Linked DNA regions of Rattus norvegicus. The protein of the gene in region 1 purifies or fractionates together with the protein of each later gene. This does not show direct contact. Links are inferred from orthologs where the notes say so. Each region holds a gene or a part of one and is shown on either strand. Other genes may lie near its edges. The genes, in order: Smc3, Wapl, Usp13, Rec8, Nipbl, Pds5b and Pds5a.

Evidence for each region.
Region 2: the proteins of Smc3 (region 1) and Wapl purify together in Homo sapiens (affinity purification with mass spectrometry; 7 studies listed by BioGRID and IntAct, with this or other methods). This does not show direct contact. The link is inferred for Rattus norvegicus from reciprocal best matches to the Homo sapiens genes SMC3 and WAPL.
Region 3: the proteins of Smc3 (region 1) and Usp13 purify together in Homo sapiens (affinity purification with mass spectrometry; 4 studies listed by BioGRID and IntAct, with this or other methods). This does not show direct contact. The link is inferred for Rattus norvegicus from reciprocal best matches to the Homo sapiens genes SMC3 and USP13.
Region 4: the proteins of Smc3 (region 1) and Rec8 purify together in Homo sapiens (affinity purification with mass spectrometry; 3 studies listed by BioGRID and IntAct, with this or other methods). This does not show direct contact. The link is inferred for Rattus norvegicus from reciprocal best matches to the Homo sapiens genes SMC3 and REC8.
Region 5: the proteins of Smc3 (region 1) and Nipbl purify together in Homo sapiens (affinity purification with western blotting; 4 studies listed by BioGRID, with this or other methods). This does not show direct contact. The link is inferred for Rattus norvegicus from reciprocal best matches to the Homo sapiens genes SMC3 and NIPBL.
Region 6: the proteins of Smc3 (region 1) and Pds5b purify together in Homo sapiens (co-immunoprecipitation; 7 studies listed by BioGRID and IntAct, with this or other methods). This does not show direct contact. The link is inferred for Rattus norvegicus from reciprocal best matches to the Homo sapiens genes SMC3 and PDS5B.
Region 7: the proteins of Smc3 (region 1) and Pds5a purify together in Homo sapiens (affinity purification with western blotting; 8 studies listed by BioGRID and IntAct, with this or other methods). This does not show direct contact. The link is inferred for Rattus norvegicus from reciprocal best matches to the Homo sapiens genes SMC3 and PDS5A.

The regions. Positions count from the first base shown.
Region 1 is NC_086019.1:262,605,686-262,609,890, forward strand, and holds the start of Smc3 (structural maintenance of chromosomes protein 3), read left to right. Parts: upstream 1-1,405; 5' UTR 1,406-1,527; coding exon 1,528-1,542; intron 1,543-2,462; coding exon 2,463-2,538; intron 2,539-4,205. UniProt on the Homo sapiens protein: Central component of cohesin, a complex required for chromosome cohesion during the cell cycle. The cohesin complex may form a large proteinaceous ring within which sister chromatids can be trapped.
Region 2 is NC_086034.1:10,015,110-10,018,609, forward strand, and holds part of Wapl (wings apart-like protein homolog), read left to right. Parts: intron 1-222; 5' UTR 223-244; coding exon 245-743; intron 744-3,500. UniProt on the Homo sapiens protein: Regulator of sister chromatid cohesion in mitosis which negatively regulates cohesin association with chromatin. Involved in both sister chromatid cohesion during interphase and sister-chromatid resolution during early stages of mitosis.
Region 3 is NC_086020.1:117,546,943-117,550,442, forward strand, and holds part of Usp13 (ubiquitin carboxyl-terminal hydrolase 13), read left to right. Parts: intron 1-3,107; coding exon 3,108-3,292; intron 3,293-3,500. UniProt on the Homo sapiens protein: Deubiquitinase that mediates deubiquitination of target proteins such as BECN1, MITF, SKP2 and USP10 and is involved in various processes such as autophagy, endoplasmic reticulum-associated degradation (ERAD), cell cycle progression or DNA damage response.
Region 4 is NC_086033.1:33,078,604-33,082,617, forward strand, and holds the start of Rec8 (meiotic recombination protein REC8 homolog), read left to right. Parts: upstream 1-1,214; 5' UTR 1,215-1,373; intron 1,374-1,581; 5' UTR 1,582-1,636; coding exon 1,637-1,692; intron 1,693-1,770; coding exon 1,771-1,839; intron 1,840-1,920; coding exon 1,921-2,063; intron 2,064-2,143; coding exon 2,144-2,219; intron 2,220-2,601; coding exon 2,602-2,722; intron 2,723-4,014. UniProt on the Homo sapiens protein: Required during meiosis for separation of sister chromatids and homologous chromosomes.
Region 5 is NC_086020.1:59,160,778-59,164,277, reverse strand, and holds part of Nipbl (nipped-B-like protein), read left to right. Parts: intron 1-618; coding exon 619-708; intron 709-1,621; coding exon 1,622-1,836; intron 1,837-1,925; coding exon 1,926-2,028; intron 2,029-2,631; coding exon 2,632-2,730; intron 2,731-2,821; coding exon 2,822-2,968; intron 2,969-3,500. UniProt on the Homo sapiens protein: Plays an important role in the loading of the cohesin complex on to DNA. Forms a heterodimeric complex (also known as cohesin loading complex) with MAU2/SCC4 which mediates the loading of the cohesin complex onto chromatin.
Region 6 is NC_086030.1:5,089,445-5,093,741, forward strand, and holds the start of Pds5b (sister chromatid cohesion protein PDS5 homolog B), read left to right. Parts: upstream 1-1,497; 5' UTR 1,498-1,506; coding exon 1,507-1,614; intron 1,615-4,297. UniProt on the Homo sapiens protein: Regulator of sister chromatid cohesion in mitosis which may stabilize cohesin complex association with chromatin. May couple sister chromatid cohesion during mitosis to DNA replication.
Region 7 is NC_086032.1:42,989,833-42,993,332, forward strand, and holds part of Pds5a (sister chromatid cohesion protein PDS5 homolog A), read left to right. Parts: intron 1-676; coding exon 677-739; intron 740-1,635; coding exon 1,636-1,781; intron 1,782-2,355; coding exon of another isoform or gene 2,356-2,358; coding exon 2,359-2,467; intron 2,468-3,500. UniProt on the Homo sapiens protein: Probable regulator of sister chromatid cohesion in mitosis which may stabilize cohesin complex association with chromatin. May couple sister chromatid cohesion during mitosis to DNA replication.

The DNA.
Region 1 (4,205 bases):
ATTTGCCAGCTGAGCCACAACCCCAGCCCTCATCCCTAGAAACTGAATGAAGGCTTAGAACGTTGGTCACAATATACCCAAAGCATCACAAATTGACAGAAAAGGAAAATTTCCTTTTTCCAAAGCATCACAAAAGGAAATTTTCAATTGAAACTTTTTCATATATATATATATATATATATATATATATATATATATATATATATATATATATATATATATAATTTTTCTCCCTCAAACTTTGGGTGGAATTTGGCCAAAGTTTCAGATAAAGGACTTCTAGGAGGGCATAAGGAAAGTTTGACCCTTCCTCCTAGACATGTTAAGTCCAGGCAGCAGGAATGGCGACCGAGACTAGTTTTTGTTTTTGTTTTTGTTTTCCCAGCAGGCAATTTTAGAGTTTCCCAGAACTCTACTTCTACACTGATAGTATACTCTTAGCTGGGTGTGGTGGTGCCGGCCTTTAATTCTAGCACTGGGGAGCCAGAGGCAGGTAGATCCCTGAGTTTGAGGCCAGCCTGGTCTACAAAGCAAATTTCAGGAAAAGCCAGGGCTAAAAGATCCTATACATTTAAGGACTGCTCGCAGTACCTACTATTTTTCAAGAAATTTCTTTGTGGCAATGGTACAGGCCTTTCTAGACTTGGAGATGGCACACAGTAAAGGCTCACAGTATATTCATGAACACTTTTAAGCCGGGTGTGGTGGGTGCGTGCACTAACAAAGGGAAACATGATGGTAAGGAGTTCTAAGTCATCCTTAGCTACAGGGTGAATTCAAGGCCGACATGGATTGAAAGCTGGCCTGGGGGGGGGGGGGAAATAAAGACAACCTCCCTAAATCAAACACAAAGCCTTCAAATGTTCTAGCATCCTCCAGTCCTCTCAGAGCTGGGGTGGGGTATCAGAACCAGCAGGAGGCGCTCTAAGCTAATAAAGAGAATAACGGAGCAGCGGAGGTTCGGAGCTGCGAACCCTAAGCAGTCACAATGAGACAGACCTACGTTCAAGTCCGACAGGCCATCCTTTTAAAGCAGACCGGCGGCCACGTGACTGCCGGCGCGCTCCGCAATTGGCTCCCCTCGTCTCACTCTAGGCTTTGGCGCCGAGCAGGCCCCGCCCCCCATGGGCGCGACCATAGTCCCGGCGTACGGAGGTGGTACAGGCCAGCCTGTCGAGCAAGGCTCCTCCGAGTCCAGCTCCCAACTGATTCTCAGTCAACAAGGCAGTATAAAATAAATTGTGAGGTTAAATCCCGCTTAGAGGGCCGCGGGAGTGTGGTCTTTTCGACGCCACAGAGCGGGGCTGGAGTGCTGACTCCCCTTGCGATCTACATCAATTCCAGAGTGGTTCCTTCGGCGCGCGGGCTCCGCCTCCGCGGCCGCCGCCATTTTATTTGACCACAGGGGGAGCGAGCGGGAGCGATCGGAACCCAGTGAGAGGGGCCGGTCTGCGTCTCTCCTGACCCTGCCGCCGCGCTGTTGCGGTTCTGAGGTGAAGCTTTCCTCCTGCGGAGGGGCGCGGAGCCATGTACATCAAGCAGGTAGGGGCTGGTGTCCTTCGCACTCACGGGCCATGAGAGGCGGGGTGGCCTGGACGGGGAGGAGCGGGGCCCGGGCCGGCCCAGCGCGGGGCTGCAGCGGGAGCTTCCCCTCGGGGCTCGGTGTGTGGAGCGGAGCCCGGGGCCCGGCGCAGGCGGGCTGCAGGCGGAGGCCGGGCCTTCTCGGGCGCCGCGGGCTGCTGCGCTCTCCTGGGGGGCTGCGGCAGGCCGCGTCGCTCTGCAGGGATGGGCGTGCACGGGCCGCTGTCCGGAACGGCGGCCTAGACGCTCGGGCCGCAGCCCAGAGAGGTGGCCTCGAGGCACGGGCTGGGCTGAAGGCTATCTCTCCCTTGCCTCAGGCTTTGCCCCAGAAGGGCGGACCCCTCGCTGCAGAACAAGTCGCGCCTGCACACTCGGTTGTTTACTTCTGTCAAAATGGTCTTCCCGCGCAAGAGGCCACCTCCGGGATGAGCCCCTGTATATACGCTTGGCGACGGTTTCTATTGGACGTGTCAGGCTCTGAGCATTCCACCCCAACCTCCTTATATTTTATCTCATTAATTTTAATTTTAGTTTATTTTTTTCAGTCGACTCATTTGACCTGGCAAGTGGTCTGACTGAAAGATGCCCTCACTGGGCTTGGAGTAAGGCAGGCTGCGACTAGCTCGCCTGCTTGCTATTATATACCTTTAGTAGTGCAGTGTTGAAGCTTATTCTGTACACTCTGAGAGCTTCTCCCAGAGCAACACTGGTTGCAGACTGTTGGAAAGGTTTTAGCAAATTTTTAACTTGCCTGCTCCCAAGCGAAATGTTCTTTGCTGCCTGGAATGTTTCTGTCTTGCATTGAACAAGACGCAAGAAATATAGAGAATGCTGCCATAGAGGTGCTTTCTGTGATCTCAAGGGTGTCTCTTCTTTATTAGGTGATTATCCAGGGCTTCCGAAGTTACCGAGATCAAACAATTGTAGATCCCTTCAGTTCAAAACATAATGTTATTGGTAAGTGTTCTTGGTTTAATACGTCGCATTTAGAGTTGATGCAGATTGATGTGATAGACCAGAGGAGACAGGAGTTGTCTTTGAATGTTAAGTAATATCCCTCTATGATATTTCCTGCTTCTCTTATCTGCACAGACAAATTGCTTATTTATAAAATGTTTAGGTAATTCAGTCGGAGGTAAATCATTTTGGGGCCTCGTGGTGTAAGTGAGGTAGTAGAAATGGCTTGTTAAGCACGTGTGTGGAGGCTGTCGATTACGTGTTTTATTTCAGAACCTTTTACGAGAGGGTATTTTTAAATGCTTTTTGCCTGTTTTCTTGTTCAAGCGCTCACTGTTACTTTCTTTGAAAGATAGCTTATTTGCCAATTGTGGTCTTTTTCCCTTGCCAGTTTGAGTTTTTATGATAGACATTAACAGACCCCTGTACCTATCTCAGAAGACCATGGAAAGGGTAAAGAGAAGGTATATGAAAATTTGAGATTAAAGAGTATATGATTGGGTGGGAGAGGGAAAAAAAAAGAGTATATGATTGTTGTCACTAACAGTACTTAGTTAAGGGTTTTGTTTAAAAATGTGTTTTTTGCTGTTACAGCTGACAAAACCATATTCTGCCGAATTTTAAAGGATGGATGAAATTAGTGCTAGACATGAGAAAACAGAGTCTGGCATTCACAGTTCTGCCATTAGTGTCCTAGCTGCAGTTTGATAGGCCAGCCAGAAGCAGGCTCTCTAGTGCGTATGCAGTTGTGGAGGATTGCGGTTTCTGGTACCAGCATGATTGACTTCTGATGAGGCCTCATTTCTGTCCAATTGACAGCTGATGTCTTTCTCAGGGCTCCCACCCTCATGACCACACCTAGCATTGTCATCTAATTCAGTTGCAGGATAGGGGAGATCTGCTTGCAGGTTCAGTTGTGGGGAAAAGGATGCCAGTGTCACAGAAGGCCGTTAGAGACCCGGGACTAAGATGAAGGAAGCCAGGAGTGCTCACTTAGCCCCTCCAGCTACGTAGAATGAGAGTTCAGAATTGAAGGTGAATCTAGTCATATGGCAGGGCCTAGACATTAAGTAAGTAAGGCTAGGCTTTTTTTGCCTTTGGTACATGGGCTACAGTCCTCTGTGGGAGCAGAGAGAACATGCATTCTCCTTGTGCTCTAGCTACAGAAGAGTGCTGATTGGTTAGCACCACAGAAGACTCCACTGTACCCCGGTTTTCTTGCATTTCATTGTAGGTGCTTCCTGATGTTTGTAGTCTGAAAATGCTATTAGTGGAGAAAAAGAAATAGTGACTAGATTATACGGCATTTCTTTTACTTCTAAGCTGAAAATACTTTAATATTTCAGGTGTCTGGTTTCCTAGTGATCTGTGCAGTGATGATTGTTATCTAGAATCATGTCAGTAAGGTCTGTTAAACACTTTTGTTTTAGCTGTGGTCAGGAAGGTTTCTGTCCCTTTGCTTGCAACATAGTTTCTTTTGAGAAGAAAGTAAGAATTCTTTAATATGTTTTAACTAAGGTAAAGTGCCTTTCTTGGTGCTAATTTTCCTGGTACTATTAAAGAGATCCTTCATTGTGAGATAAATGGAAAGTTGTTATTTGACCCGTCCAGCGGGTCTAGTTATTCAGGGTCCCGAAGAGGCCTTACCTGAGGGTCAAAGCGGGGGA
Region 2 (3,500 bases), on another chromosome or scaffold:
TGTTCTTATTGTAAAAGCAAGCCAAAACACTACCAAACCTGATGTATGGAAGTAAAGAATGGAAAATTAACCTCTTCAGCTCATTTATTTAAACTAGTTTAAAAAGTTTGCGTGCTGAATGTTGAAAACTATATAAGGAAGTCCTAGGATCTTATTTTTTATAGAATGCTTAAAACTTGTTAAAAATTTGCTAATTATATTTTCTCAAAATTCTTTCTACAGGGAATATGAAACAGGTGTCAAAATGACATCCAGATTTGGGAAAACTTACAGTAGGAAAGGAGGAAATGGCAGTTCAAAATTTGATGAAGTTTTTTCCAACAAACGGACTACTCTTAGTACAAAATGGGGAGAGACCACATTTATGGCTAAATTAGGGCAGAAGAGGCCCAATTTCAAACCAGATATTCAAGAAATTCCGAAGAAACCTAAAGTAGAAGAAGAAGATACTGGAGATCCTTTTGGTTTTGATAGTGATGATGAGTCTCTACCTGTTTCTTCAAAAAGTTTAGCCCAGGGTAAGGGTTCCTCTTACTCAGAATCCAGTGAAGCTGTTCAGCTGGAAGAAGTCACTTCAGTACTTGAAGCTAATAGCAAATGTAGTCATGCGGTGGGTGAAGACAGTTTTGCTTCTGATAGATGCTTACTTGTGGAGGATTCTTTAATTGGGAAAGAAAAGAACACAAATAGAATTCCAGAAGACAATGCAAACAAAAGTAGTTGTACTAAGTTGATAACTTCAGGTAAGTTTTGATGTATTTAAAGCCATTTATGTGATACTGAAATTCTAATTTATTACTTGTGTGCATGCATGTGTTTGGAAAGAAAAGGACAACTTTGTATAGTTTTTTTCCATGTCTACATGGATTCTAGAGATAAATAAATGGAGGTTGTCCGGTTTGCATTTCTAGCACCCCTACTGAGCTGTTTCATTAGCACCTTAAAAGGCCCAAGTGGTTGCTGAGTTGCGGTGGTGCGCTCTTCTAATTCCAGCTCTTGGGAGGCAGAGGCAGGCTTATTTTGGAGTTCAGACCCCTGGACTGCTAGGACTGTTATGTAGAGAAGCTCTGTCTTGGACCCCACCCCCCCACAAAGGATGTGCGTGGTTGCCATTTGTTTTTTTTTTTTTTTCCTCCCTGCATTTATGATTAGTAGGAGATATTGATAAGTTTGTTTAATGTGTGTGTATGTCTCCTGCATAAATGTGCACTGTGCATGCCTGCTTCCTTTAGAAGCTAGGAGCTACTGAAGTTAGACACCATGTGGGAGCTGGGAACTGAACCTGGGTCCTTTGGAAGAGAAGTCAGTGCTCTTAAATGCTAAACTATTTCTCCGGTCCCCTTATAAAGCACTTAAAACTTTTCAGAGCTCAATCAGATTTAAATTTTAATTCAAACATCTTAGAGACTTGTTACTTGGTATTATTTTGGGAACAGTCTTTATACATTGATTTGTTGGATAGTGTTTTTTATAATACTGTGAGTTTATTGACTGTCTACAAGGAATTTGTTGTAGTCTTAATGTAAATAACACATCAAGTAGGATAGGGAGTGTGACTTGCATTGCTTTGCTAAAAGTGCTGAGCTTTTTTTCTAATTTTCTCAACCTTTGGGTGAGTGAGCTAGCTTTTGTTGTCGTCCTCTTGATCCTCTGGGCTAATAATCATTTTGGTTGTTGCTTTGTTCATATTTCTCCTAAAGCATTGTTCTTACCTTAAGCTAGATTTTCATAAGAAAACAAATCAAAAGAAGCCTAACATTGTTTCCAGATCAGCTTCTAAAATTTATCATAAAGATACAATTTCTGAGTGCAAATGAATTTTTTACTCAACTCTGCTCACTTTGTAAAGTTTGGAGAGATTAGGTAACTTTCTAAGATCAGCTAGTGGCAAAATTAGAATGAGGTTTTTTTTCAATTACTTTTAGATTTATTTTTTTTATAAGTCTGCATGCATATATATATATATATATATATATATATATATATATATATATATATATATATATATATACACACACCATATGTATGCTTGCTGGCCACCAAGGTTGGAAGAGGGCATCTGATTCCCCTGGGACTGGAGTTACAAACAGTTAGGAACTACGATGTAGGGTCTAGGAATTGAGCTAGGTCCTCTGCAAGAGCAGCCAGTGCACTTAGCCACTGAATGAGGTTTCTTGGTTGTTCAGATGTTGTTGAGCCTACTATCTGATTGTAGTGTTTAATTGTCGTTTCTTGCTGATTCCAGATAGTTGTCCTACACAGGAGGTAGGTAGCCTGTAGAAGACTAAAGGTGCAAGTTTGTTAACGTCCTTGTGGAGGATCAAGGGAGAATGGGGCCTGGTGGCAGAGGGTCGAGGGAAAAAATGTTTTATAAGAGGAATAGGAGTATTTGTAGGAGGTATCTAATTATGTTTCTATGGTGGTAGTGTGTTTTTTTTTGCTTTTGTTTTGTTTTGTTTTGTTTTTTTTGGAGCTGGGGACTGAACCCAGGGCCTTGCTTGGTAGGCAAGCGCTCTACCACTGAGCTAAATCCCCAACCCCGGTAGTGTGTTTTTACATTTGTTCAAATTGCTGTTGGAAGTTGCTAGAAATGCAGTAATCTGTGGAATAAAATAGCTTCACATTCCAGTGTAGCTGGATTGTAGTTCTGATGATGCCTGTAGTTGGGTTGACCCTGATTCCAGACTCCATTATAATAAAGTTTGAGGAGAAAATACATACAAAAATAAAGATAAACAGGTATTCTAGAAAAAAAATCTAGTTTTGCTTCCCTTGTTATAAATGCACACTTAGTGGTAAGGGACTTATGCCACAGAATGAGTTTGTGTATTTTCCCTTGACTTTCTGAAGCTTGCAAACTCTGGCAACTCTTATAGGGTAGGAAGCAAACTTGAAGTGTCTTTAATTTTTGTAATAGTGTTAACTTAAAAGTGTGTATAAGTCAGTTATTTTTATAAACCATGTATAAGTTCATGTATTTAGAAGTTGGCTCTGTAACAGAATGCTTTTGAGCTTTATAGATTTTCTTTTGCCATTTCACCTAAACTTTTGGGATTTCCTGATTTTGCATTTTTGTCATATTGTCAGTTCTTTAATTTTACTCAGAAAACTTAATTTGTTTTTATCAACAACTTGTTCAAAGTATGTAGATGTACTTGTTCAAAGTGTGCAGGTTTAAATTAAGTTCCATAGTATCTTTTCAGTGAGATATTTGTTCACTCTTTTCTGTAGTTGAATTATTTCACACCAATAAGAAAAGCTTATCCAAACTTAAAAGAGTTTTATCAGTTTTTTTCTAATAATTCACATTAAGTTCATCTTTTCATCAGTAGAGAATTGTGATTTCTTTTTCGAAATTACACTTTTTTGTTTTAAATACTTCTTAATGGGTAGTACTTTTAAAGATTATGGTTAACTTGAAGAGGAAATTCGAAGTGAAGTCATAATAAACCAGAATGGTTTAACTAGTCAGCTAGTCTAGGGGTAAAGCCTGAACACCT
Region 3 (3,500 bases), on another chromosome or scaffold:
TGTTTCCTCTCATTTGTGGACTTAGAGTTAAATTTATGTGTGTGCACACAAACACATGCACATGTCTATTTGTGTATGTATAGGGCATGATGCTTGAAAGGCGATTGTGACTGCAGGGAGAGATCTGTAGTGACAGTGAAACAGAGGCGATGGAGCACACATGATATGAAAACAGAAGGAAAGGAAGGGGCATGAGGAAGGGCTGTGGGGGGAGACTTTCTAGAACAAACTGAGCTAATTCATGTGTGTGGAATGTCACAATGAGACCCACTATCTTATATGCTAACTTTAAGAATTATTTTACAAAAGAAAGAAAGTGAAGAAACAAATAAAAGTCAGAGATGAAACCTTCTCTCTGAACATTTCTGGCCTTTGCAGCAGGTGCTGAGTGCTCTCAGTCCTCAGCCTAAGCCCAGGTGCTGTCCTGCAGCAAACCAGGTGTTTGCACACAGGTGCAGCTCAGGGACGTTCTACCTGTAACACCTGCTGGGCAGTGCAGGGGATGGGCAGACATGGCAGCTGAAGCCATTGTCCTTCTGGAACCTCACACGGGCAGCAGAGCCAGTGCATCAAACCCTTGGGGGACACTTCTCCCCTGGAGTTCCTCATCAGGCCTGAGTGCCAGGTGTCCATGGTGGTTGCTTGTTGACATATCCTATGCTGGCTTTTCCATTTCTTATTTGTCTTTCCCATTCTGCTGGGCTCAACTCCCACACATCTAGGTCTGACTTCAGTCTAGGGGGTCAGACTTGACACAATGTTGGGCAGTCTCCAAGGGACCAGAATGCTCTCGGGGACTCAGAAGCTAGGTCTCAGAGGAAGAGCAAGGGGCGCTTAGAGATATGTCCAGTTTCGTTGACGTGGGCCCACTCTACTTTCTGTCCTAAGACAGTAGCTTGGGGTAAGCAGACCACTGCTGGCCTCATTTTCTACCTCCACAGAAGAAGGATGTTTACACTGACACTGAGCAGAATTTGCTAGAATCACACGATGGGGCTTTCCGATAGTCATTTGACACATAACTGGCATTTAGTGTGCAGTTTGGTCCACTTATTTTCTGAATTTAGAACTGTAGTGTGGTAGGGTATGTCAGTCATTTTATAACAAACCCCTGAGATGGGTCAAAATCATAAACGGGAGTTAGCCTTGGCTCATGGTTTTAGAGGCACCAGTCCCGGTTAGTTGGCCCCGTTGTTTTTAGGTGGTGGTGATACAGCATATCAGGCGGGAGACCTACAGTGCTACAGGCTGTTTAGCTCATGGTGGGTGGAAAGAGAGACAAGGCCGGTCCTGAGTTCTAATGTTCCCTTTTAAAATATTTCCCAGTGGGGGCTGCAAGGGTGGCTCAGTGGGTAAGAGCACTTGCTGCTCTTGCAGAGAACCTGGGTTTGGTTCCCAGCATCCACATGGCAGCTTAAAATTGCCTCTCACTCCAGTTCTGGGCAGGGGGTCTCCCAATGGCACCAGATACACACATAGTGCACTTTCATACATGCAGGCAAAACAGTGTACACATAAAAGTAAATAAATCTTAAAAATAAAAAGTACACTCAGTGAACATAATAATAGGTCTCATGTTTGATTGTTGTATTACTTAGTTTCTATTTCTGTGATAAGGAACCATGACCAAAGGCGACTTACGGAGGAAAGGGGTTATTTCATCTTATATTTCCAGGTAACCAATCTATCCCTCAGGGAAATCAGTGTAGGAATTCAAGCAGGGCAGAGACCTGGCGGCAGGAAGTGAAGCAGAGACCGTGGAGGAATGCTGCTCACTGGCTCGCTCCTCATGTCTTGCTCAGCCTGGTTTCTTATACACCCAGGACTACTTGCCACAAGGGTTGAACCATCCACAGTGAGTTAGGCCCTCCCACATCAACTGTCAATCAAGAAAACTGATTGCCCACAGGCCAATCTTATGGAGGCATTTTCTCAATTGTAGTTCCCTCTTCTAGAACAACACTTACTTGTGTCAGTTGACATAAGAAGTAGCCAGCACCATTATAATGTTTTCATACATGTATGTAATCGTTTGCTCACGTTCACTCCTGTTACCCCCTCGCATCCCCTGTCACTCTTGCAGATCACCTTCCTCTTTCAAACCAGTCCCTTCTACATTAATGCTTTTCTTTTTGGGGATTCCATGAGTTGAGTTAGGGCTGCTTAGAGGAGCACAGGTTATTTATAGGAGCAATGGCATCTTACCAATGACTATGCCATTGAAGAAGGTGTTTCCCTCCCCAAGCTTATTAATTGCCTATAAGTTTTCAGGGAGGGGCAGGCCTCATGAGTGCCTCTCTACTCCATGATAGAATGGGCCCAATCCTGTAGTCACAGGCACCGTGAATTCAGGAGTGCAGCAGTGGCTGTGACACACCCAGAAGACAGTTTTCCACAACACTCCACATCTCATGTTCTTCTTGCAGTCTCATGAGCCTTAGAGGAGTCTTGTAGAAGCGCAGGGATAGCTGAGCGTTCTACGGTCTCTTGTTCTCAGTGTGATGTTGACCAGATGTTCTCCGTGGTCCCTGCCGCTCACTGCAGAGACAAACATCATTGGCCAAAGCTGATTGTACCAATAATCTACAACCCCAAACACAAATATCTAGACAACTGTTGAACAGGCGCGTTGTGTCCATGTAAGAGCTTTCCAGACATGCTGGGTTCACAATGCCATGCAGAAGACCATGGCGTTAACATGCAGTTCTTCCTGGGATGTGCCCAAGTTGGACTATAGCATAGTTGTTATCTCCATCAGTTTTATCGTGTATGTGTGATGTTTTGGAATGTCTTCCACATAGGATCCTCCATTTTTGTACCTTATTCAGGAACCACTGTCCTGCAAGCGGGAGTTTGGAGGACACGGCCTCTTTCTCGCGCTTCATGTCATACATCAATTTTCATTTTAAAAGAGCCACACTGGAGATCTATGGCTCAGTCTCGGAAGCAGGAAGGGTACCGGGTGGTCCTGGGCTCTGGACGGGAACAGTAATATCCCTGGGTAAGAACACTGGGGAAGTGCAGCAGTAGGATACACTGTTCAGTTTTCACATATCAATGTTTCCCTTTGTACTGGCTGTCCTGATTGTTCTCTGGTGACTTTCTAGTGGCTGGAAGTGTGCCCGATGTGACCTGCGGGAGAACCTCTGGTTGAATCTGACTGACGGCTCTGTTCTGTGTGGGAAGTGGTTTTTTGACAGCTCGGGGGGCAATGGCCATGCGCTGGAGCATTACAGAGACATGGGCTATCCTCTGGCCGTGAAGCTGGGCACCATCACGCCTGATGGAGCAGGTGAGTGTACCATTGCATGACTGGCATCTCACAGCTGTCTCAGCTCAGATCTGAGAAATGGGCTTTGCTTCTTCTTATTTGTAGTGTGAGTACTCGAGATTCCTTGTCTTGGGGACATTGATGGTGCTACTCTTGTGGTTATTCATGGGTCTAAAGCATTTAGCCCGGTGGCTTTCAGTAAAGCGTGAGTAAAATAACTGTTCTCCTA
Region 4 (4,014 bases), on another chromosome or scaffold:
TATTATATATAAGTACACTGTAGCTGTCTTCAGACACACCAGAAGAGGGCATCGGATCTCTTTACAGACGGTTGTGAGCCACCATGTGGTTGCTGGGAATTGAACTCAGGACCTCTGGAAAAGCAGTCAGTGCTCTTAACCACTGAGCCATCTCTCCAGCCCTTTACTTCTGTTTTGTTCTTGGTTTTGTTTGCTTGGTTTTGAAACAGGGTCTCACTGTACTGTTCTGGTTAGCCCGAAGCTCACTGTGTACACCATCATGGCCTCAGACTCACAGGATCTGTGGGACTCTGCCTTCCAAGTTCTTGGATCAAAGGCTGGTTTGTTATTGTTTTTCCCTTTCTTGCAATACTGAGCTGAGCCCAGGGCCTTGCATATACATGCCAGTCAGGCTCTCTACTACTGAGCTACATTTCCACATTTTCAGCCTGGTTTTTACTTTTTATTTATTTATTTTATATAGGATTTCACTAACTCTCCCTAACTGGGCTGTAGACCAGGCTAATCTCAAACTCCAAGAGATCCTCCTGTTGTTGAGATTAAAGGTGTGCATACCACTCCTAGCCTCTGTTTTTGCTTTTTGTTTAGAGCTAGTGTCTAAGTTGCTTAGGCTGGCTTTGAACTTGTCTCCCTTGCAAGTTCCTTGGTTGTTTTCTTTCTTGTTGAATAAAAGGCCACCTCACACTGTTTCTTGCACTTAGCACAGCATAGACCCTTCCTGGGCACAGAATCTGGTTGGTGAAATTTAGGAGTAAGGTCAGGTCCTATGTTCAGGCAAGGTACCTTCCCTTGAATCTCTGTATCTAAGCAGCACCAAGGCATCTGCCCTTTACGTGACCCTGGCTCCTAAAAGATACTATTTTTAGCTGTCACCAGGGTGAGACTGGGTTTCCTCCCCGTTTATTGGTCATCTTACACGTTGGAGAAGTCCTGTTACTACCTGAGAGAATGAGACCCCATTGGCCAGGACAGCTCACAATGCCATGGTAGCGTTCAGAGTTCTTGTGATTGGCTCGCGACTATTCTCCAAGAGCCTATAGCCTGGAACTGAGTTTTGCTGCCTAGCACCAAGAGTCAAAGCTCCCTCCAATGCGGCTTCCCATTGGCTGTGGTGGCGCAAAGCCTTGGAGAGTGTGCACCTAGTCCCGCTGGAGGGCGACCCGACCTAAAGCAAGTTCCAGAAGCTCGACGACGACGACGACGACGACGACGACGTCGACAGCGACAACGGTGGTGGCGGCGGGCGACCTCGAGCTTGAGGAACAAAGGTTTTTTGACAAAGTAAGAACTCAGTCTTGCCTGAAGATCTGTTCTGTGTCTCTGCCTGGGTTTCTCTTGGAGCTTCGCATTTCTACTTGGACGCAATCCTGAAGGTAGGTCCCACTTGCGCGATGTGCAGACCTCAGGGATGGCAGAATGAGGGATCGTCCCTCGCTTCTGCGTCTCTGGTTGTCTCCTAATTCAACTACAATAGTCAGTCGGTCATCTTACTAATTGGGCTTTTTGCATCCACGTCCACCACACCCCCTGTCCAAATTCCTACTCTTCAATGGTGCTGGAAATCCCATGTTCTCAATGAAGAATTTGGATTGAGATCCAAACGGGATTGGTGCCGAGCGAGAACCCCAGAGCGAAGATGTTCTACTATCCCAACGTGCTTCAGCGCCACACAGGCTGCTTCGCCACTATCTGGTGAGCACAGGGCTGATGGCTATACCAGGAGCCCAGTAGTGGGATCCCACCTTGACAAGCCGTTCCCCACCCCTCCAGGCTGGCCGCTACCCGGGGCAGCCGTTTGGTGAAGCGGGAATACCTGAAAGTGAACGTGGTAAAGACCTGGTAAGATCCAGAAAAGAGGGCGGAATGGGGTTTGGGGTTACTTTGAGTGTTGCACTGACCAAGGGCTTCTTGTTCTCCCAGCGAGGAAATCCTCAATTATGTGCTCGTACGAGTGCAACCTCCGATGCCTGGGCTGCCCCGCCCCCGCTTCTCCCTCTATCTCTCCGCCCAGCTTCAGATTGGTGTGATAAGGGTCTACTTTCAACAGTGCCAGTACCTTGTGGGTAAGGCTAGAGACTCTAGAGGCGGGCTAGAGCCGAAGGGCCCGTGGCTGGGTTGTTTATTTTACTGTTCTCACCCACAGAAGACATCCAGCATATCCTAGAGCACCTACACCGGGCCCAGCTGCGGATTCGCATTGATATGGAGGAGGCTGACTTGTGAGGCCCTGGAACTGAGGCCATCCATACTAAGCTGCCTGGCCTCAGCCTTGTTTTGTTTTAAACATTTGCCTGGACATGCATGCAGTGTGTGTGTGTGTGTGTGTGTGTGTGTGTGTGTGTGTGTGTGTGTGTGTAGGGGGGGGTTAGGTAGAAGAGGGGGAGAGGGGGAAGGGGGGGGACGGAGAGCTCAAACAGCATTGTATAGCATTGTATGCATGTGGAGGTCAGAGGACAACAGATAAAGTGGGTTCTCTTCCTTATGTTAGTTCAAACTCGGGGATGAAATTCAGGACTTTGGGTTTAGTGGCAGCACCTTTACCAGCTGAGCCACCCCACCCACCCTCAGCCTAGGTCTTTTCCATCCCTTGTTCTCTCCCAGACCTAGCTTGCTTCTTCCCAATTGCCTGGCCATGATGGAGACGCTGGAGGACGCCCCAGAACCCTTTTTTGGGACGATGTCTGTGGACCCTACACTTCCCAGTCCTTTTGATATTCCTCAGGTAAGGTTCACTCCCCTAGAACCCCTCAGAAATCACTAGACAACAGCAGAGGAGTTAGTTGGTGTCCCTGTCCATCTGGAGCTGAGACTGAGGGTTGGGACACTGCCTCGGGTTTCCATTAACAGGCTATGGAGCCCCAGCTCTTGCTTACTTAGGGCCAACCTGATAGGCTGGTTTCCCACATGAGGCGTTCTTCCCCCTCTACTGTTTGCACCGAGACCTGGCTCTCAGGCTTCAGCTGGGCATGTTGGGTTTTCTTCCCTGTCTTTTGGCATCTCCCACAGCTTAGATGTTACTCCTGCCCCCGTTTCCCAGCTAAGCAGCTGGTTCTGAATGCAGAGAGGATCAGCATCCAAGGACCCTCGGTACTTAGATTTAGGGGTGCTCATCCCCATTCTGGTCTCTTCTCTAGGCACCTTCCCTCTCAAACACCAGCCCATTGCACATGTCCCAACGGTGCCACCTTTATTCTTTTGCTTGTGAAAATGAGCATCCTAACCCTTTAAGAGTGGCCACTCATTCTCTGCTAGTCAGGTCCTACCAAGTCCTTCCAGACTTTGCTCAAGTGCCACCCTTTTCCAGGAAATCATTATCCCACTTAAAGCCAAAAGCAAATGACGCTTGGAATCTCAACACTCTACTAAGTCTGCTTCATCCTTTTCTTTTTTTGTCTTTTTTTTTTTTTTTTCCTGGAGCTGAGGACCAAACCCAGGGCCTTATGCTTGCTAGGCAAGCATTCTACTACTGAGCTAAATCCCCAACCCCTGCTTCATCCTTTTCATTGATCTATTGGAACTGTACACAAATTTGTCCCCACCACCAGCTACCCAACAATCTTTTCTCTTTGTCGCTGTCCACGACAACACAAATTGACGAGGCTAATTTGGGGATGAGCTTAAGGCTGGGACAGGAGGGACACTAGGTGGTGGTGGCCTCTGACATACTGTTGTCAAATGGCACAGACATCTGATTTAGGTCTGGAGGTATAGTCCGCTGGTAGAGAATTTGCTTAACATGCACGAGGCCTTAGGTTTGATTCCCAGTTCTGAAGGAGAACACACACACGCACACACAATCACACACACAGATACACCACACACATACACACTCATACCGAATATGGTAATGTAAGCTAAAATAAGAATTCAAGAATTGGGCTGGAGAGATGGCTCAGTGGTTAAGAGCACTGACTGCTCTTCCAGGGGTCCTGAGTTCAATTCCCAGCAACCACATGGTGGCTCATAGCCATCTGTAATGGGATCCGATGCCCTCTTCTGGTGTGTCTGAAGACA
Region 5 (3,500 bases), on another chromosome or scaffold:
TAAATTTCCAGAGCCCACAAATACACTCCCTTTCTTCACCTTAATTTTTATTTCCATAGTAATTATAAAACCGCCTGAACTGTATAGTGCATGTCAGTATAGCTGTTAACATTTCTCATTTACTAGATTAAACTTTTGGTGTATATTCACAATGTATAAAATAAACAATGAGTTCAAAACAGTGCTTCATTATGTGGGTCCTGTCTCAGGAAAAAAGGTGATTTTTTTTTAAATGTAAATTCCGTACCAGGGCCAGGGTAGAACATACTTGTGATCATCTTTACATCCGCCACTTGCAGACTTTAAAGCTAGTGTAGTTCACACAGCCAGGCTCAGGCAGCAGGTTCTGTTTCTCAGAACCCAGGCTTTTTACTCCTTACAATAGCTACACTTGTGTTTTGCTCATTTCTCCCCATCGGGTATGGATTTACGTTTACATAGCCTGTTAAAGCATGCCAGCAGATCTGTGCTTATCAATCTGTAATTCCGTCTTTTGGAAGGCTAGGGCAGAGGTTCACAAATTGGAAGGCAGACATAGTGGAGCACATCTCAGAAGTGGGCGGGGCCAGTAACAAATGCGCCGCCGGTGACTTTGTGGCTGCTGCTGTTGTGCTTTAGGTGTCTGGAGGAGAAGATGAAATCCAGCAGCTGCAGAAGGCATTGCTTGATTATTTGGATGAGAACACTGAGACTGACCCTTCACTGGTGGTGAGATTCATGTTGCCTTTAACTTAAATTGTGTTCTAAAAGTGAAATGGGGAAAGAGAAAATTAAATATTTGGAAATCTTTTTATGCATTTTTTTTTGTTTGGTTGGTTGGTTTTGGTTTGCTTTTGGATTCTCAAGACAAGGTTTCTCTGTGTAGCCCTGACTGTCCAGGAACTCACTTTGTAGACCAGGCTGAACTCAGAGTTCTGCCTGTCTCCGCCTTCTAAATACTAGGATTAAAGGCATGTACCACCACCATATGGCTTATAGATTATCTCTAAATCTAAGCCAATCTTAAAAATGAGTATAGGTCACTCAGTGTTGAAGGTGATCCATGAGCACATACAAAGAAGCTGTTAAATCCATATATGTGTGTATATGCAATTCTTCGAAAATTAAGTGACATATCCAGAATACACTAGGCCATGTATACAATTTGTCCATTTTGTAGGCCTGACGTAAAGTTGATAAATACTCCACATAATCTGTAGACTTAGATACACAGAAGTGCTTCAGTGCTGACCTGTTTTAATGTGCCAATATTGTACAGATGAGAGTTGAAAACAGTTGGGGGTCTTTTACCTTCACTATTTTACTCATTTGTCCTAAGCTTTCCCACTGGCCTTCCCACCAAATCTTACTGAGTCATGTGACTGTCTACCTCAAGTAGTTGATAGTAGTACTCTATCTATATTTGATACAATCATTTTTATTGAGTTAGTTTTATAGTTAAATGTTAAAAAGGAAAAAAATTCTGTAATACAGGCTATTTCAGAATTTTATCTGGAATTATCTTTTAAATCTGCTTCTGTCTGATAGAGGTTGTTTTAAAGAAAACTACAGTACTTCTATTCCTGATTGATTAGAAATGGTATTAATTTCATCAACTCAAACTTATCTAATGTCTTTCCAGTTTTCTCGTAAATTCTATATAGCCCAGTGGTTCCGTGACACAACTCTGGAAACAGAAAAAGCAATGAAATCACAAAAAGATGAAGAATCATCTGATGGGGCGCATCATGCAAAAGAAATTGAGACAACTGGTCAGATAATGCATCGAGCCGAGAGCCGGAAAAGGTTTCTGAGAAGCATTATCAAAACCACACCTTCTCAGTTCAGCACATTAAAGTAAGATGCAGGGAAAATGGGTCAGAGATATATGAAGCATAGATGTCCATTTAAAAGAACATATCCAGTTACAGTGCTCTCTGTTGTAGGATGAACTCTGATACTGTGGACTATGATGATGCGTGCTTGATTGTTCGATATTTGGCCTCTATGAGGCCGTTTGCCCAGAGCTTTGATATTTATTTGACACAGGTAATTGATTGATCTGATTGATTTTTACTTTATTTTGGTTACTTTTGGAGATGGTGGACTAGGTGTGACCTTTTTTTGAGGGTAGTGTCAATGGGCTGTGGAAGCAGCATTTGTCTCTGTTCCTCATTCACATGGTTTTAGCTATGTCTGCCCTCTGCATACTGACTTTGTACAAACAAATGGACATGTGTTTGTATGCCACTATGAAAATCAATGTTTATCAAGTCATAGCGAATAATACTGTCTTTAATAAAAGTTACACATAAGATTTTAGTGAAGCTCATACACATAAATGTGTATGTATGTTTAGTTGAGAATACTGAAATAAAGGAAAAAACGAAAATATAGAATACCTTTCTATGTGTACTGGTCTAACTTAAGATTTTGGACCAGTAAGATGATAGTTTCTCTCTCTCTCTCTCTCTCTCTCTCTCTCTCTCTCTCTCTCTCTCTCTCTTTGTCTCTCTCTCTCACACACACACACACACACACTCACACAGAGGAGTAAGTAGTATATTTGGTTCTTTTATGTATTTTCATGCTGTATTGTGTTAAATTTTACTTATTTTAAAATTTATGAGCATGTTAATGTTTGCCTGGCAGATACTACGAGTTCTCGGTGAAAATGCAATTGCCGTTCGAACAAAAGCCATGAAGTGTTTGTCTGAGGTTGTTGCTGTAGACCCCAGTATTCTAGCAAGGGTAATAATAAAAATAGTCTATTTTACTTTTCTATTTATATTTGAAGATCATCTCCGCTGCTATAAATGTCATTTCTCTCCCTCTTCTTTAGCTTGACATGCAGCGCGGAGTTCATGGGCGATTAATGGATAACTCCACTAGTGTTCGAGAGGCAGCCGTGGAATTACTAGGTCGATTTGTCCTTTGTCGACCTCAGCTTGCTGAGCAGTATTATGATATGCTGATTGAAAGAATATTGGTATGCTTCTTCTATAGTAGTTTATGAATACGTAATTTACCTTAAATGTCACACCTTATTTATCTTAAATTTAACCTAAAATTGATAATTTAATCTAAAATGTATAAATGTGAATTATTTATATTATTTAATCTGTGAACTGTAGCACCACTCTAAAAAAGGTTATGCTTTGAAGAGGCAAACTCAGTATTATAAAGCCCAGTGTTGGTTAAAGTCAGATCCATTTTTCAATTATTCTTATACCAGTTTATAATCACTAATTAATAGTAATTTTGTATGATAACTGTTTTGATCAAGACCCTAGAGTAGTTATATTGACTTTGCAGTGTGTGTATGTATCTGTCTGTCTACAAATTGCTTCCACAGCAGGCACCCCACCCACTTTAAACATATTGATTTTTTTATAGAAGTATACAGTATGTTCTGTAGTGCTGCAGTGACAAATTTTGTCATTGCCGTTAGTGTGGTACAGGAGTAGTTTGTAAAAGGTTTACTTGACTTAGCGTAAGCACTTGTTCTCTACATCACAGAT
Region 6 (4,297 bases), on another chromosome or scaffold:
CTGCTTCTATGCAGCCAGTGATCCGTGCCAATTTGCTTTTTCACAGTCTTGCCTGCTGTAGTGTCATTTTATTCCAGGCATTTGTACAGTGTGTAATGAGACCTTGAGGTTGAGTTTGTGTTCTTACAGACAGTGCTGCTGAATCTTCTCATGCACTTACCTGTTGCTTGTGTATTCTCCAAACATCTGTTCATTTCTTTTGACACTTTATGATTGTATTTTATGTATCAGAGTTCTACAAGTCACCTATCAGATAAGTGTTTTACATGTATTTTCTAACTTGACTACTGTTTTAACGTTGTAGAGCTTTCTCTGTATGGTGTAGAATTTTTATAGAGGCGTGTACTTCCATTAACTCCAGTGCTAATCTGTGTTATTGTTTGAAGTGATTGTTGGTTGACTCCACAGTTGTATTAATATACCAGTTTACTGTGCTTGATAGACACTTGCGTTTGTTCTCAATGCTTGTGAATGTCTTACGTGAGACATGTTTGCTTGTTTCTCTTGAGCACACACAAAGAAGTGGACCCAGGAACCCTGCACGCATGCATGCACACACAGACACGCACACACACTCACGCATGCACGTATATAAATATGATGTGCTGCGTATGTTGAAGTTTTCTTGAATTATTCCTGTAATTTTGAATTTATTGTCTTTGGCTTCTTGAATCTGTGATTGCTGTCTTATGATATGTGCATTTGTGTGGCCTGCTCAGTCGTCTGTGGGTCTCAAGATAGACCCCCTCCTCACGTATTTAGTTCTGTGTTTCTCTGGTTGTGCCCTGGATGATTTCTTTTGTCCGAATTCTGATATCTTTGCTGTATGCAAATGAACTTGTCTCTCCAGCTTTTATTGGCTGCTGTTCTGCATGTCCAACCATTTGTTTTTTATAATTACTCTTTACAGATTTTCAGAGTTGTCTTTTATTTAAGTTTTTGATGGGTATAAATATTCTGTCCCTCTTGTCACACGTGAGCACTGAAACTGAATACTGTTTTTGTCCTGTTGGCAGATCACATCAGAGATAAGATGGATAGAATACTGTAGCGTTTGCTTTAATTCTGTGGAGTGTTGGGATTTTTTTTCCCCTAGATTTTTTTTCTGAATCATTTATGGCACTTTATTTTTTTTATTAAATAAGTATACTTATGTTAATTCTTTGAGAATTTCATGTAACTTGTTTTGATCAGATTTACCCTTGTTCCTGCCCCTACTTTGAACATTTGTTTGTTTATTTGTTTATTGTTGTGTGTTTTGTTGGGGAGAATTATTGCAAACTACACAGCTTGCTACTAATGAAATAAGAAGTCAGTTTGTTTGCCTCAGTAATTTTGGGAAATGTTCAGTAGAATACTTAGCAGTAGATGTCCAAATTGTTCTAAATTATGAGGCGGATACAGATCGTTCGGTAACATCTTATCTGTTACATTTATTATAGAACATGCTTGCTTTTAGTTTGTACCTAATAATTTTCTTCCTTTAGGGGTACAGACATTTCCATCATGGCTCATTCAAAGACAAGAACCAACGATGGCAAAATTACTTACCCTCCTGGTGTCAAGGAGATCTCAGATAAAATCTCTAAAGAGGAGATGGTGAGGCGGCTAAAGGTGAGTGGACATTGTGTGCTTCAGATTGCTGGGCAGTAGGTTGTAGCCCTTTCTGGTGGGGATCTTCATGGAGGGCCATGGAGCTTGCTTTGTTAGGGATTTCTTTTAAAGTAGCAAATGGCAGAGAGAGCTGTGGGAACAGGGCAGTAAGGAACAGTGGATCCTACTGCTCTTTGGAGAGTGATTAGCACATGTCCCATGATATTTTTGTTCTGTCTATTACCAAGTTATTTGTGCTTTCTTCACATTTGATGCCCACTACCCCTCCTCCATCAAATCTTCAGGTCTGGGAAAGGAAGTTTGAAGTATTTATAGGAGTCCTAGGCTATAGGTTACCTTCTGGTAGGTTATTTTTAGGGTAAGAGAGCGTGACTGTTAGTGTCTGTCTCTGCTTCTGGCACACTGTAATAAACCAAGATGGGCAGTAAAGCTTACAGGAGACATTCTCCATGACAGGGGTCTCTAGATTGTGTCTCACCTTTTTCTTCAGGGCATTAGGGGTCCCTGTGACAGCTCAAATGTTTAAGTACCAGTAACAGACAAGGTACAAAACAACAGATTTGTTACTCAGGATTATTGTTCTATTTAAGCAAAATTTTCCTTCTGTGTGGACACGTGTGTGTGTGTGTGTGTGTGTGTGTCTGTGTCTGTGTCTGTGTCTGTGTCTGGTGTGTTAACTAGACATTTGTTACAATTTTTTCATTTCTTTCAACTGATGCAAAATGTTTTACATATTAAAAATAATACTCACTAGTGGGTCACATGTACATTTTGTAATGTCTACTGATCTGCTGTTACTTATGTGATTGTCAGTGTTGGGAAAACTTGTCTTCATCACTAAAGTCTGGGAGCCTTACAGAACAGTAATATGTAAGGTTGCGGTATCATGTATGCATGTGTAAGGGACGCATACTTTTCTAAGTATGTCTACATTTTCTTGATCTGTTGAATTTTATGGAACTAATGTATTTCTTCCCTCAGGTTTACCCCAGGAGTGGTAGGCCATGCTGTCTATCATGTTTATGGGGAACGCTGTGAAGACAGAGCATGCACACACAAGCTGATTGACATTTAGTATCTTTATGCATACTGTTAGATCTCTTTAAGTTAGATGCCTCGTCTGAATTATAATCGGGGGTTCTCTGTACCCCGACTTAAGGCAGGTGTTGATGTGGAGCCTAGGCTGCTCTGGACCTCCATATGTAGCCCACACTGCCTTCGAATTTATAATCTAGCCTAAGCCTTCTGAGCACTGGGATTAGTGATAGTTTTAGTGATTTACCATACTGTTTGAATACACAATAGTGAAAAGTTCCTGTTATCTGGGTCTGGAGCAGATTTGATGGTTTCATTGTCTTCATATTCAGTGTTGTGTACCCTCTATTACTGTCCGATCGTGTGTCCAGCAGCAAGCTGGCCAGTGCAGTCTTAGCTTCAGAAGAAGAGAAAGTAGAGTGAGTCGGGGATGATGATGCTTTTTGCTATTTACTCATGTAAGTTTTATGAATTATGACAATTTGTTAACATACAGGTTATCCTATAATTTCTGGGTTTTCCTATAACATTTTATTCAAAATAGACTTCATTTCCCACTCTTGCATAAAGAGATTATAAGGAAAATAACTAGTTCTGTGGACCTTTCTCTCTATTTGCCCTTGTGACTTTCATGGCGCAGAGGTGCTGAGAGCTAATGTCTTGAGAGTGTTGCAGTGGAAGTGTCAGGACAGCAGGCCTAGATCTGGGTCCTCTCACTTTGTGTTGGCTCTGTTGGATTTGGTATCAGGCATGGCAGAGCAGAGGGTTGTTCTCTGAACAGCATTGTCTCCCATGGCTGCTCCGGGAGATCCTAGGGAATACAGCATTTCTCACTTAGAGCTACAGGCCTCTGGTAAGTCAGAAGCCACAGGCCATGATGCTCAGTAGCCCTGTTGAGAGGTTAGCATGTGCAGCGCCACCTAGTGGATACTGTATGGTTACCTTTCGTCAGAGTGAGGTCGAAACTCGTGTTCTCTCAGGTTTGACAGTTTTCTTGATTCTCACTTAAATAAAGAATAGAGATCATTTTGTTGAATTTTATTTGAAGTAAGGATAGTTGGAGAAAACCATTTCTACTGATATTAACCTTAGAGAAAACTTCATAGAATTTAAACTATATAATTTTTTTTTGCATCCCCCTTTTATAAAAATAATTGTGAAGACAGATCTGTTTCGTGCAACCTGTGTCTGCTTAACACATACCTGGATTATCTCGCTGAACCAATGAAATACCCATATCTTATTTCCTTTTACTGTGGCCTATAACATGCTTAGTGTGTGACTGTGACACTTAACTTATGTCATGGTAACTGAAGGTTGCATTTTTCTTTAAGAACACATCTTTGACATCCTTTAAAAAATAGGTTTATTTTTATTTTTCAATTATGTCTTTTTGCTTGGTATGAGCATGCAAATTCAGTGTCCCCAGAGGACAAAGGAGTCACAAGTGATTGTGAGCTACCTGATCTGGGTGCTGGCAGCTGAACTTGGGACGTCTGGAAGAGAAGCGCATGCTCTGAATGCTGACCCATCTCTCGGTCCCAGCAGTTTTTCTTGAATCTGTTTATATGGTCTTTTAGGGAGGCTGAAATAGAAAAATCACATCTGGAGCGGTTTAATGGCTAAAAGATATATTGTTGCTATGGCA
Region 7 (3,500 bases), on another chromosome or scaffold:
ATTATGGAGGTGTTTAATGAATATAAGTGCCTAGGATTAGCCTGGCAGAAGGATAAGCCTGGCAGAAGTTTCTGAAACCCTACAGTTGGTCTATAGGAGACTGCCTCAAAACTACAAATTTAAGGCGTCAACGAATAAATACTGTCTATTTTATCAGCTGTAAAGTAGATTTTATAATATTAGAGGTGGTAATCATACTTTGAACAATATCAAAAACTAGGAATGAAGTTTATTTAAAACGCTACAAGTGATTTTCACAGGCACAGTAAACACATGGTGCATTCAACGCAGATGCAGGCAAAATGCTCATAAACATAAAAATAAAATATGTGTTGCTGGTTGTGGAACCCCATTCCTTTATTCCCAGCACGTTAAAGGCACCACATTAAATCTTAGGACTGCCATGTCTCAAGACCAGCAAACTAAAGAATTAAAATGTTGAAAGGTGGAGGATATTATGTCACTGGGTCACAGCAAATTTCTTGCCAAGTGTGTGCAGTTCTCTGGTGCAGTAGTGCTCACTATGGACTTGAAAATACACCTCCTGCCTTTGTCCAGGTCGTCGTACCATGTGTGAGCAGAGTGCGTTGCTGTTGCAAGGCAGGGCCTGACAACGCTGAGGTGATGACAGTGCTCAGTTTGCTTGGTTTTGTTCTTTCTTTCTTCTTTTTAATAGGACTTCTCTAATGACAAAAGCTATATTTCGGAAGAGACAAGAGTTCTTCTGTTGACAGGAAAGGTACTGTATGTTTTCTGCTTGGGGTTTTGTTTCGTGGGCTGTATTTCTTTTCTCTGCCCCCAGGCTTGTGGGCACGCAGTGTGCATTGCTACAGTCTGAATATTCTCAGACCTGTTTTGCAATTAACCACTGTTCAGAGCCATTGCATTGCCACTTACTCTTAAAAGTGGTGAAAAGCTCAAATTTACTTAAAATTCGTAGGACAGATTTCTATAAATAATAGAACAATAAGAAGATAAGAAAGGCGTTGTTGGCTCATGAGTTTACTCCCGGTACTCAGGATGTAGATTTGTCTGTCATTTCAACGCCAACAGATTTAGTTCTGGAACAGCCAGGGCTGCATGAAGAAACCCTGTCTTTAAAAAAATAAATAAGGGGTTGGGGATTTATTTAGCTCAGTGGTAGAGCGCTTGCCTAGGAAGCGCAAGGCCCTGGGTTCGGTCCCCAGCTCCGAAAAAAAGAACCAAAAAAAAATAAGTAAATAAGAAAAAGAAAATAAAGAGAGACTGATATGAAAGGCTAAGATGATAGGAAGATTGTATTTCATAAAAGTCAGGTGATGTAAAAGTGTATATTCACAAGTCTAAGTCTGCGTGCATCCGTACACAAGTTTTGGAGGCATGTGCGTTGTTTCAATTAAGAAATAAGAGATAAAAAGGAAAGATATCAAATATTGCCTCATACTAAGTGAAGGTAGTGGATTTGCTTTTGCTTATATTAAAAGAGCCAAACTTTTTTTTTTTTCCAGAATTCTGATAACACTCCCAACAGAATTACTACTCTTACCTTAACACTAAAGCACATGTCTTAGGCGCTCTAAATTTTTACATATTCCTTTCCCTCGGGTGTGAAATGACATAGGTATGATTTTTCTTTCTTCTTTCTTTTTTTTCCAGCCAAAGCCTACTGGAGTACTAGGTACAGTAAACAAGCCCTTATCAGCAACGGGAAGGAAGCCTTATGTTAGGAGTGCCGGCACAGAGACTGGAAGCAATATTAACGCCAGTTCAGAGCTGAGTCCTTCGGCCGGAAATCGTTCAAGGCAATTTATTTTTCTCTGAATACATTTTCTTTTCTTGCTCCTGCTTGGCTTAACGTTTACGTTCAAGGCATTGGATCATATAATGGATTTATGTAAAATTATAATATTCATGTGTTTAGGGTTTTTTAATGAGACTCAAAAGTGTACTGTGTGTTTTCTGAGACAGGGTCTCATCATGTAACTCTGCTTAGCCTGAAACTCGATAATGTAAGCTGGGTTTTCCTCAGACTCAGCTGCCGCTGCATCTGCTTCCCAGGTGCTGGCGTTAAAGGTGCGTTTCCTCACACCTTGTTTAAAGAGCGCTTTCTGAGCCAGCGCCTTTTTACATGGTCAGGCTGTGTGCTGCAAACTTGTTGCAGACCTCTTGCTTCAGCCCCTGGAATACTGGAATTATAAACCTGAATACCACATTATATAGCACACCCCGAAAAATAAATTCTAGAACACCAATGAGGTCTCCCAGGCAAGTGGGTATAGTTAATATGACCAATCAATGAATAAAATTGATTATTTCATTTCTGAATTGAAAAGACTTTGGTTTTTTGTTTGTTTGTTTATTTGTCTGTTTTTCTAGTAGGGAACAGAGTTCAGAGGCATCAGAAACTGGAGTTAGTGAAAATGAGGAGAATCCTGTGAGAATAATTTCTGTCACACCTGTAAAGAGTATTGATACGGTAAAGAATAAGGTAAATGTTATTCCTTTGTTTATAGTGCTGAGGTTTCCACAAGGCAGGGCTGGAGAAATGGCTCGGCAACTGCGTACTGACTGGTATTTCAGAGAATCCACGTTCCTTTCCTCCATGGCAGCGGATAATGTTCAGGAGTCCTTGCTTGTGCTGCTCAGCTGGCCCTGCGCCTACTCACCTGTCTCCACTTCCCCACTCAGGGCTACAGATGTTTGCCATTAGATGAGGTCTTTCCTGCTTATCATCTGATTCATCTTATTCCTTAGGCTTCCTGTGGGGAGAGGGAGCTTTGAACTTGTGGTCCTCCTGCCACACCTCCCAAATAACTGGGGTAACCATGACATGTTCTACCATGATATTCAAACTGGAGCACCCAGTTCACTCACTCACTCTACATCCATCCAGCTATTGTGTGCTACTTAGTATGTATGTACGAATGACTTGCAGTTTTTGTGGAAGCCAGGAGAACAATTTGGATCCCCGAGGGCTTGAATTTACAGTCGTGAGCTGCCATGTGGGTGCTAGGAATGAACTTGAGTCCTCTGCAAAAGCGTTAATCCTCACCTCCCTGTTCTACTTCTTCCTTTTTTAAAAGATTTGATCTTATTTTATGTGTATGATTGTTTTACTGCATATGTCACTGTAGCACGTGTGACAAGTGCCCACAGTGTTCAGGAAAGGGTATCAGATCCTCTGGAACTGGATTCTCACTCACATGGTTTGCAAGAGTAACAAATACTCGTAAACCCTAAGCTATCTCTTCGAGCCCCTCCCCCATTTCCTTAGCAGTGTTTGAAGAGGAGAGAAGTGAATCGGAACAGTAGCCAGGCAGTCAGACTTGTTTCGGGATGTGCTCTGCCACTGGAGGACTCGAGGCTGATTTAGATGGTCTGGCTTCACTAACTCCACAGTCACTTGTTTAATGAGAAGCAGCTCTTCTTCCACTCCCACTGCAAGCAGGAATGGCTCGAGACAACAGATCACTGGACAAAAGTCAGGGCTATCTCACTCCCATAATTCCCGCAGTACAGAG